Linked DNA regions of Cricetulus griseus. The protein of the gene in region 1 interacts with the protein of each later gene in a pairwise test. Links are inferred from orthologs where the notes say so. Each region holds a gene or a part of one and is shown on either strand. Other genes may lie near its edges. The genes, in order: Ptpn21 and Bmx.

What was found.
Region 2: the proteins of Ptpn21 (region 1) and Bmx interact in binary tests that used the Homo sapiens proteins (3 or more experiments, as listed by UniProt). The link is inferred for Cricetulus griseus from reciprocal best matches to the Homo sapiens genes PTPN21 and BMX.

Annotation. Positions count from the first base shown.
Region 1 is NC_048598.1:106,994,151-106,997,969, reverse strand, and holds part of Ptpn21 (tyrosine-protein phosphatase non-receptor type 21), read right to left. Parts: intron 1,788-3,819; coding exon 1,727-1,787; intron 1,136-1,726; coding exon 1,051-1,135; intron 1-1,050.
Region 2 is NC_048604.1:99,280,826-99,284,644, forward strand, and holds part of Bmx (cytoplasmic tyrosine-protein kinase BMX), read right to left. Parts: intron 3,657-3,819; coding exon 3,602-3,656; intron 1,529-3,601; coding exon 1,449-1,528; intron 1-1,448. UniProt on the Homo sapiens protein: Non-receptor tyrosine kinase that plays central but diverse modulatory roles in various signaling processes involved in the regulation of actin reorganization, cell migration, cell proliferation and survival, cell adhesion, and apoptosis.

The DNA.
Region 1 (3,819 bases):
AGGATCGTCATAGATCAAGCAGCACAGAGACAGAAGGCAGAAGCCTTGTCCCATGGTTGGAGGGGCTTTGGTTCAAGTACAGATGGGTATAGAAGAGGGGGCAGGAATGGGACAGTCCCAGAGGACACTGAACTCCACACCACAGCTCTGTTCTGCTATCGCCATCCTCAACTCTGCATAGAAGGCCACAACTAGAAGTGCAGTCAACACGCCTTCTTCCTGTCCCTTCAGACCTGTGCCCTACAAAGTGGGCAGTAGACCCCACTTCCAAACAGCCCCTCGCTTCCAATACCACAGCACTCACCAGCCCACAGCAGCAGACCCAGGCGTAGACCTGCCTGGAACTGGTGATGTCCAGCCATCCCACTAGATCCAGAAAGCTCTTCTCAGTGCCCCCAACAGAATGGATAGAATGCTAATGCGTGTTCTCTTAGCAAAATAATTGTGATCAGATGATGAGCAAAGGCCTGATTTCCACAATTAGGGTCCAAGCCTCTTTACACAGAACTGCTCATCTGCATCCACATCTCGGGCGTTCTGTGGTTAGAGCTTACAGACAAATGGCACACAGGTGGTTGAGATTCAGCATGGAGGCATTGCAGTGCACACACAGCTGAAGTGGCAGGAACAAGGAATTATAGCATTACAGTGAGATGCTTCAGGCAGGAAGAAAACTAAACTGTCTGGATATCTTTGGTGGTTGCCTGATGTGGTGGCACATGCCTATAACACATCGCTTGGAGACGCACGCTGGAAAATCACAAACTTAAGGGAAGCCTGGCCTAAATAAGACTAATGGGGGAGGGCTCCAGGACTCAGAAACCAGCTTAGTGAGCTGCCACTGGCTACATTTGGGGTCAGCTGAGCAACGCTCGTTCACGAAAGAACCTGAATACAACGGCTTCTTCTGGGATTCCAGGATGGCTATAAACAGGACAGTTTGGGGTACAACTGTAATAAGAAGGCATCTAGACTTCAAGATCTCTAGGTCTTTACGGAGTTACTCATAGCTATAACTGTGCGCAGCTTTGCAGACTTGGTGTACTTTACCTTGGGAAGAAGCAAATGGCTCTGAATAATGTCCATTATAATGCAGCTGGGGTGGGGGAGGCATCGCATAGGGCTGGGGTTTAGGCTAAGAAATGGAAAGTTGGACATAGAGTTAAAACACATTGCCCATGTCAAAAAGGTAAAGTCATTCTTTGCTGGACTCTTTCTCCTCACTAAAAAGACCTTCTACAGATGGTAAATGTATTATAAATGGAAAATAACTACAAAAATGAAGGAGGCCTTAGCATATCTGTCATTTTCAATGCATCCCACGTGACAAAGCCAAGCCTTAGGCACTGACACCGAGGATACTAGACAGCACAAGGAAGTCTGCATCCAAAAAGTTATGAACAAGAAAGAATAGATACAAATCTCCTTGTTGAAACTCATCAGTAGAAAAAGCTCTTATGTGTTACAAACCCTTTAAGACAAAGTCAAGTACATTAAATACCTACTTAGGATTCCAGGCTAGCCAGTTAAAATTCATAATATGTGGTTGTATCTAATATTTGAACAAGTACAATAAATATTAAGTTGGACTTATGGAAGTCACTATTTCTTTGGATAAAAATTCTCAAACACACATTTGTGGTTCAAACTCGACATACTGCCCAAAGCATATTGCAATTGAAGTGGCATCACAAGAGAGAAGAGGTGACCATGTTCCTTCTCTTACCAGAGACATCCTGGAAGATGAGCCCCTCCTGACTGGGTTCAACGTGGCAGTCTGAGTTTGCCTGTGGGAGAAGACAACTGTGAGCCCAGCACACACATGCTTCCTAGTCTACAACAATAAGCCAGCTTTAGGAGGGAAGCCAGTGTGGTGGCTCACACCTGTAACTCCATCATGCAAGAGGCTAAGGCGTGCTGGGGTTTGAGCACGGCTGTGATGCCTAATGACACCTTCACAGCTGGACAGCCTGGGCAAGAATACATCTTCAGAGTGTAAAGTACAGGAGCCAGTGATGAACAGAGGCAGCCATTCTTAGCCACTGGCATCTTGCTGGCAGCGTCCAGTGGGAAGGCAGAAGCAGAAGCCAGTTCTGCTGAAAACGAAACAAAGGGTACCACATGCACCCGCTGCACAGGCTGACCTAGGCAACCTTGCCACTCGTTTGTTCTAACCATCTGCCTCTTTTTTTCTCATTGCTCTTCTAAGTGCAGCTCAAGGAAAGGCCAGCCATCATCAACTTCCCACACAGAGGGAAAGGACTGCTGGCTCTGCTGCCCAGTCGCTTAGGATGCTTTCCGGGCTGGTAAGTAACACTGAGAAGTGAGGCCACTAACGCTCCTGGGATCAATAGCTAGAACGTGTGCACTGGAGAAGATAATGAAGAGGCTGTCAGCTCCGGTGAAGTACATGATATTGCTTTGTGAAACTGGCCAGACTGCCTGTGGTTATCTCGTGGAATCTGAACGACACCATCAGGGAGGTCCAGTCATCAGTTTTACAAATGAGGAAAGTGATACTTAGATTAAGTAGATCCCATTTGGTCACATGGCAAACAAGTGACAGAACCAGCATTTGAACAGGCAGGTCTGCTGGATGCCTGAGTAGAGTCCCTGACAGTCATTTTTCTTCTGATGTCCCTAACCCCAACTAACTCATAAGCTCCACGGGGGAAAGGGAAAGAAAACCCACTGTACGACCAGTGGGTCGTACCCAGCACATGCCTGCATACAAGCAGCCCTCAACTATGTGTTGAGCACATGAATGGCACAGTGGACGGGGACAGAAATCAATACTCAAGAGAATATTTCTCAGGTGAAATGTCTCAAGCACATGCATGTAAACCTAGTAATCCGAGTTCAAGTCCTGGATCCCACAAGACGTCCGGAGAAAACCAACTTCCAAATGCACTCCCACACACACTAAATTAACCTATTAATTTAAGACTGTTTGAGTTATCTCCCTTGCACTGTGAGCTTCTTTTCAGCTGGCCATTGGTTTACTCATGGCTAGCAAAGGACAGGCTTTGATCATGTGTCAGATGGTGGAAATACCTCAGGATGTCTGTCTCATTGACTTTCCTCCTGTGATTTCCTTAATAGGGTGATGAAAAACAAAACCTCCCCTGTTTTAGGGTAGGCCAGAGGTACATATCCAGGCCACCATAAGGTCACTGGATTCCTGCCCCAACTTGTCACTGTGGGCAAGCAGAGATAATCCCCAGAAAACAGGCAATATTGATGGCTAAGGGATGACCCCACTGCCAGTCATCTACCCAAGTACCTGCACAGAAAAGGAAGCTGTCTCACTCCAACACCAGGAGAACTCCCTGTCCTCAAGCCTTACTAGGGAGAGCAGGAGACCCACCCCACTTTGGGGGCCTGTGACAAGTCCCTCTAATCCCCCCTACAACTTCTTACCACCCTCCTCCTTCCAGGTTCTGAAGGACTCCAGCAAGTCCTCTTCAATCTTCTGGGGCCCCGTAAACTAGAAGTGAAGGAGGTCCTGCATCTTCTTCCAGTCCCTGGAGCCAACAGTCGGTCTTTTGATCACAGGAGATGGGCACTGGCTGCTATGTTCACCTACAACCTTAAACTACAAGGGCTAGCTCACTTCACTGCGCTCAGCCACAGCATGCTGCTGATTCCCTAGAGAAAGGCTCTTTCCCCTCGCTCCCCAACTTGACTTTGCAGACTAGAGGGTACAGTCCACACAGAAAGAAGAAAAAAAGCCACTAAACCAGAAGTTTCGTGCCTCATTTTTTCCTCATATAACTCAGGGAGGTTGATTACTGCCAGCCCAACTCTGGGGCTTGGGAT
Region 2 (3,819 bases), on another chromosome or scaffold:
TTTGGGTTAGTCACTTATTCAGTTTCACAGACTGGTCTTTAAGCTCCCTTTGAAACCCAGTCTCCTCACCTGTAAAGGGGAGAAATAAGAACAGTATTCCTATTTACTCTGGAGGGACTTTACAAGGAATAAAAGAGGTACTAGCCCCCAGGAAAGTGATTTATAAAACTCTGGAAGGTGTATGCCTGTAATCCCAGCCCTGAGGAGACAAAGGTGGGAGAGTTAAGAGTTGGAGGCTACATAGTGAGTCTCTGTCTCAAGAAAACCATCTTCTGGAGGGGCTTCTGATGATGATGACTTTGACAGATGACTCTCAAAACCCTTACACACCTAAGTGTCAGGCATGCAAGAGTAGGACGACTACTCTTTCAGCAACACCATGAACAGTGACTGTTCCTTAGTTAGGTGTCACTATGTGTTAGACAGTAGCCTAATCTAATACGTGTATTAAATTATTTCCTAGAACATAAAAAATCATTCTTAAAAAAGGTAAACCCATATTTTTATTAGCACTGTTAAAACATTACATAAAAGACATTAAAAAGACATTCAAGTAGCTAGTAATTATAATGCCAGCCTTTGCACAGCAATCCAAATTCATTAAACTACAGATACTAAGCTATACAAAATTGTACCCCTTTAATGAAGGCTTTTAGTTTACATTTGGCCAATTCAAAGTCATGGTTAGGTTGGTGATTTTAAACACTGTGGCTTCCTGTTTGATGGACACACAATCTTTCGACAAGGACTACAGATGTGAATGTGGGAAGTAATTTTAATCATGTGTAATTGGTCACAGGCCTAATTTTCAGTAACCATTGCTGTTTTATTTAACAACATCTTGTTGCTTTGAATGCATTAAAGATCATTATTATGAATCCCTTTCAAATGAGGAAGTTCAGGTCCAGAGCAGTTAAGAAATTTGCTCAATATAGTAAAGGCCTGAACTGGGAAGAGCTGTTGACTTTGAGCTAGAACTCTTTCCTGCCAAGGGCAGCAGACAGGCAGAAGCTACTCATAACACAGCTCCCTTGGTTCAACGGCCTAGGAAAGGCTCACTGAGAACCGGGCACTGGGACAAGCTTCTCAGCTCAGCAGGCAGGTTTATCTTTTATTTAGAAGTGCTATTGCTATTTTCTATTGTTCTTTCTGCTCAAGCCTAACTCCAAGAGGCTCATGCTGCTGTTTCAGCAAACGTTTATGGGGGGGGGTGTTGTGTTCACAGCACTCTGCCATCATCTGGAGTGGGCAGGAGAGGGTCACTCAGAGCACACACTTTTGAAAGTAGAGGGTAAGAAGGCAATGGCTAATGGTTAGATTCAACACAAATACCTTGATCTCAAACTCCAGAGTTCAAGAGTGGTGTCACATCTCAAACTATGACTAAGTGGTCATTGTTGTCAAACAGTCATAAGAGGATAAAAGACATGAATCTACATTGTACTTACTTCACAGCCTTACTAAATAAGGACACCGTGTACATGCCTATCTGGCTGGAATTTCTAACCATAAATGCTCCTTCTTTTCCCTGAAAATGAGAAATGATTTTCATTACTTTGAAAATGATTTTTATGTAGGCAGTAAGTAAAAAATAATTTTAGATCCATTTTAAATGCCACCAAAGGGACAGGTTACCCAACAGTTGCACAGAAGGATTGTCCTTCAGTTTAGCTTTCTTTCTTTTTCACTCAATTCTCTTCCCCTATTCCTCCTCCCTTCACATCCCTTCTTTCCTTCTTCCATTTTTCTTTTTTGGTACTGGGGCTGGAACCCAGGGCCCTACCTTTGCTAAGCAAGTGTTCTACCATTGAGTTTTATCCTCAGCCAAGTCTGTATCTTTATAGACCCATCCTAGGCGAATTATCTCTTCTCTAGATAATTGGCAACTCTCTAATATTTTTGTTTTATTTTCTACTTATGGAAGCTTAATGTTTCCCTGTTTGAGAAATAAAATTTAGGCGTGTGCGCCCACATGCATGCATACACCACTATAATCAAATTCTGGAAATGTCTGAGAAAATTAGCAATGAACAATAAATTCTTTACTAAAGTTATACCCTTTATTTGTCTTTTGAAAGGGTTTATTCCAATTTTAACCAATACCAGGTTCCTAAAAAACATGATAAATTATAAACATAATAACTTGCCATGTAACCTATCACATTCTATCCAGCACATCTCAAAATGTAATTTGTGTATTTAGTGTTTTATTAGACTGAATTGTACCAAAATATCAATTTCATAGATCAAAAGAATTTACTACAGGCAAGTTCATACCAATTAGCAATAAAATCAAATAAATTAATTCCATATAACATCTGCTGTGCTGTGGTTTTGGTACTAATGTACAGTGAAAAACAGCTGAGGAAAATAATTACATTGATAATTCACATTAAGTCATTTTTCTTGGGCTTAGGGTATATAGCTCAGTAGTAGAGAGCATGTGTGTTGTTTTGAATGAGAATGACCCCCATAGGCTCATATTTGAATTATTAGTCCCCAGTTGGTGGAACTGTTTGGGAAGGATTAGGAGATATGGCCTTTTTGGAGGAGGTATGTTACTGGAGGTGGGGGATTTGGGTTTCAAAAGTCCACACCATTCCAGTTGGCTCTCTGTCTCCTGGTTGCTTCCTTAACATGTAAGCTCTCGGCTACTGCTCCAGCATCATGCTTGCCTGCTGCCATGTTCTCCACCAAGATGGTCATGGATTAACCCTCTGAAACAGTAAGCAAAATCCCAATAAACTCTTTTTCATATTGGTTGCCTTGGACATGGTGTCCCTTTACAGCAACAGAAAGTAACTAAGACAGCATGCCTAGTATGTGCTAGCATTTGGGTTCCATCTCCAGTCCTGAAAAATGGAATCATCTTTCCTATTGGTGATTCTATGATGTCTCCTCACACCTTGACTTTGGGATGGGTCATGTGACTTGCTGTAGCCAATGGGACACTAGTCAATGCTGTTAAAGCAGAGAGTCCCTTCTTGGAAGGTTTTCTATTCTGTGAGAATGGCCCAGACCAGACACTTGAGAGGCTATATAAGGAAGGACTGTGGCACCCAAGTTGAGAGTCTCAGCTACCCACCTTCAACCATCCATCAGCAAAACATGGAACTGGATCAGCTGCTACACAGAATTGTGAGAAATCCAAAATCTTGTTTCAAGCCACTGAGTTTTGCAGTGGTTTATTTTTAAAGAAAAGGTTATTGAGTACATGACAAAGGGACAGCAAGCCACTCAGTAACTGGAGTGTCACCTATAGCTTGAGGTGGTTTAATTTATAGCAATAGATAAGGCAAAAGGAGACCCTAGTAACTCAAAGGATGGACAGGCAATGTCATGGAGAGTTGAAACATTAGCTATAATGTTTCTCAGAGAATACATTCACCACTGGGCCCAGCCAGAAACAGCAGAGACAGGTAGGTATTCTTGGGCTGAAGATGTAGCCTAGTAGTAGGAATGCACATTTAACAAACTAACACACACACACACACACACACACACACACACACCACACACACACACACACCACACACACGAGAGAGAGAGAGAGAGAGAGAGAGAGAGAGAGAGAGAGAGAGAGAGAGAGAGAGAGAGTTACCTTTTGTCTCAGTAACTGCTCAGATTGTGACCTGGAGATATTCCCAGCAAACCAGCTGCAAAAGAATTCTGGATTTGAGAATTGATAACTTTTCACTTACATAATCCACCTCTCAACTTTTTAGTCTGCAAATTGAGGAATTGGCTTATATCATGAATTTTCAAACCTAATTATTTGACAGCATTACCTGAGGATATTTTCAAAACCCAGCTTCTTAG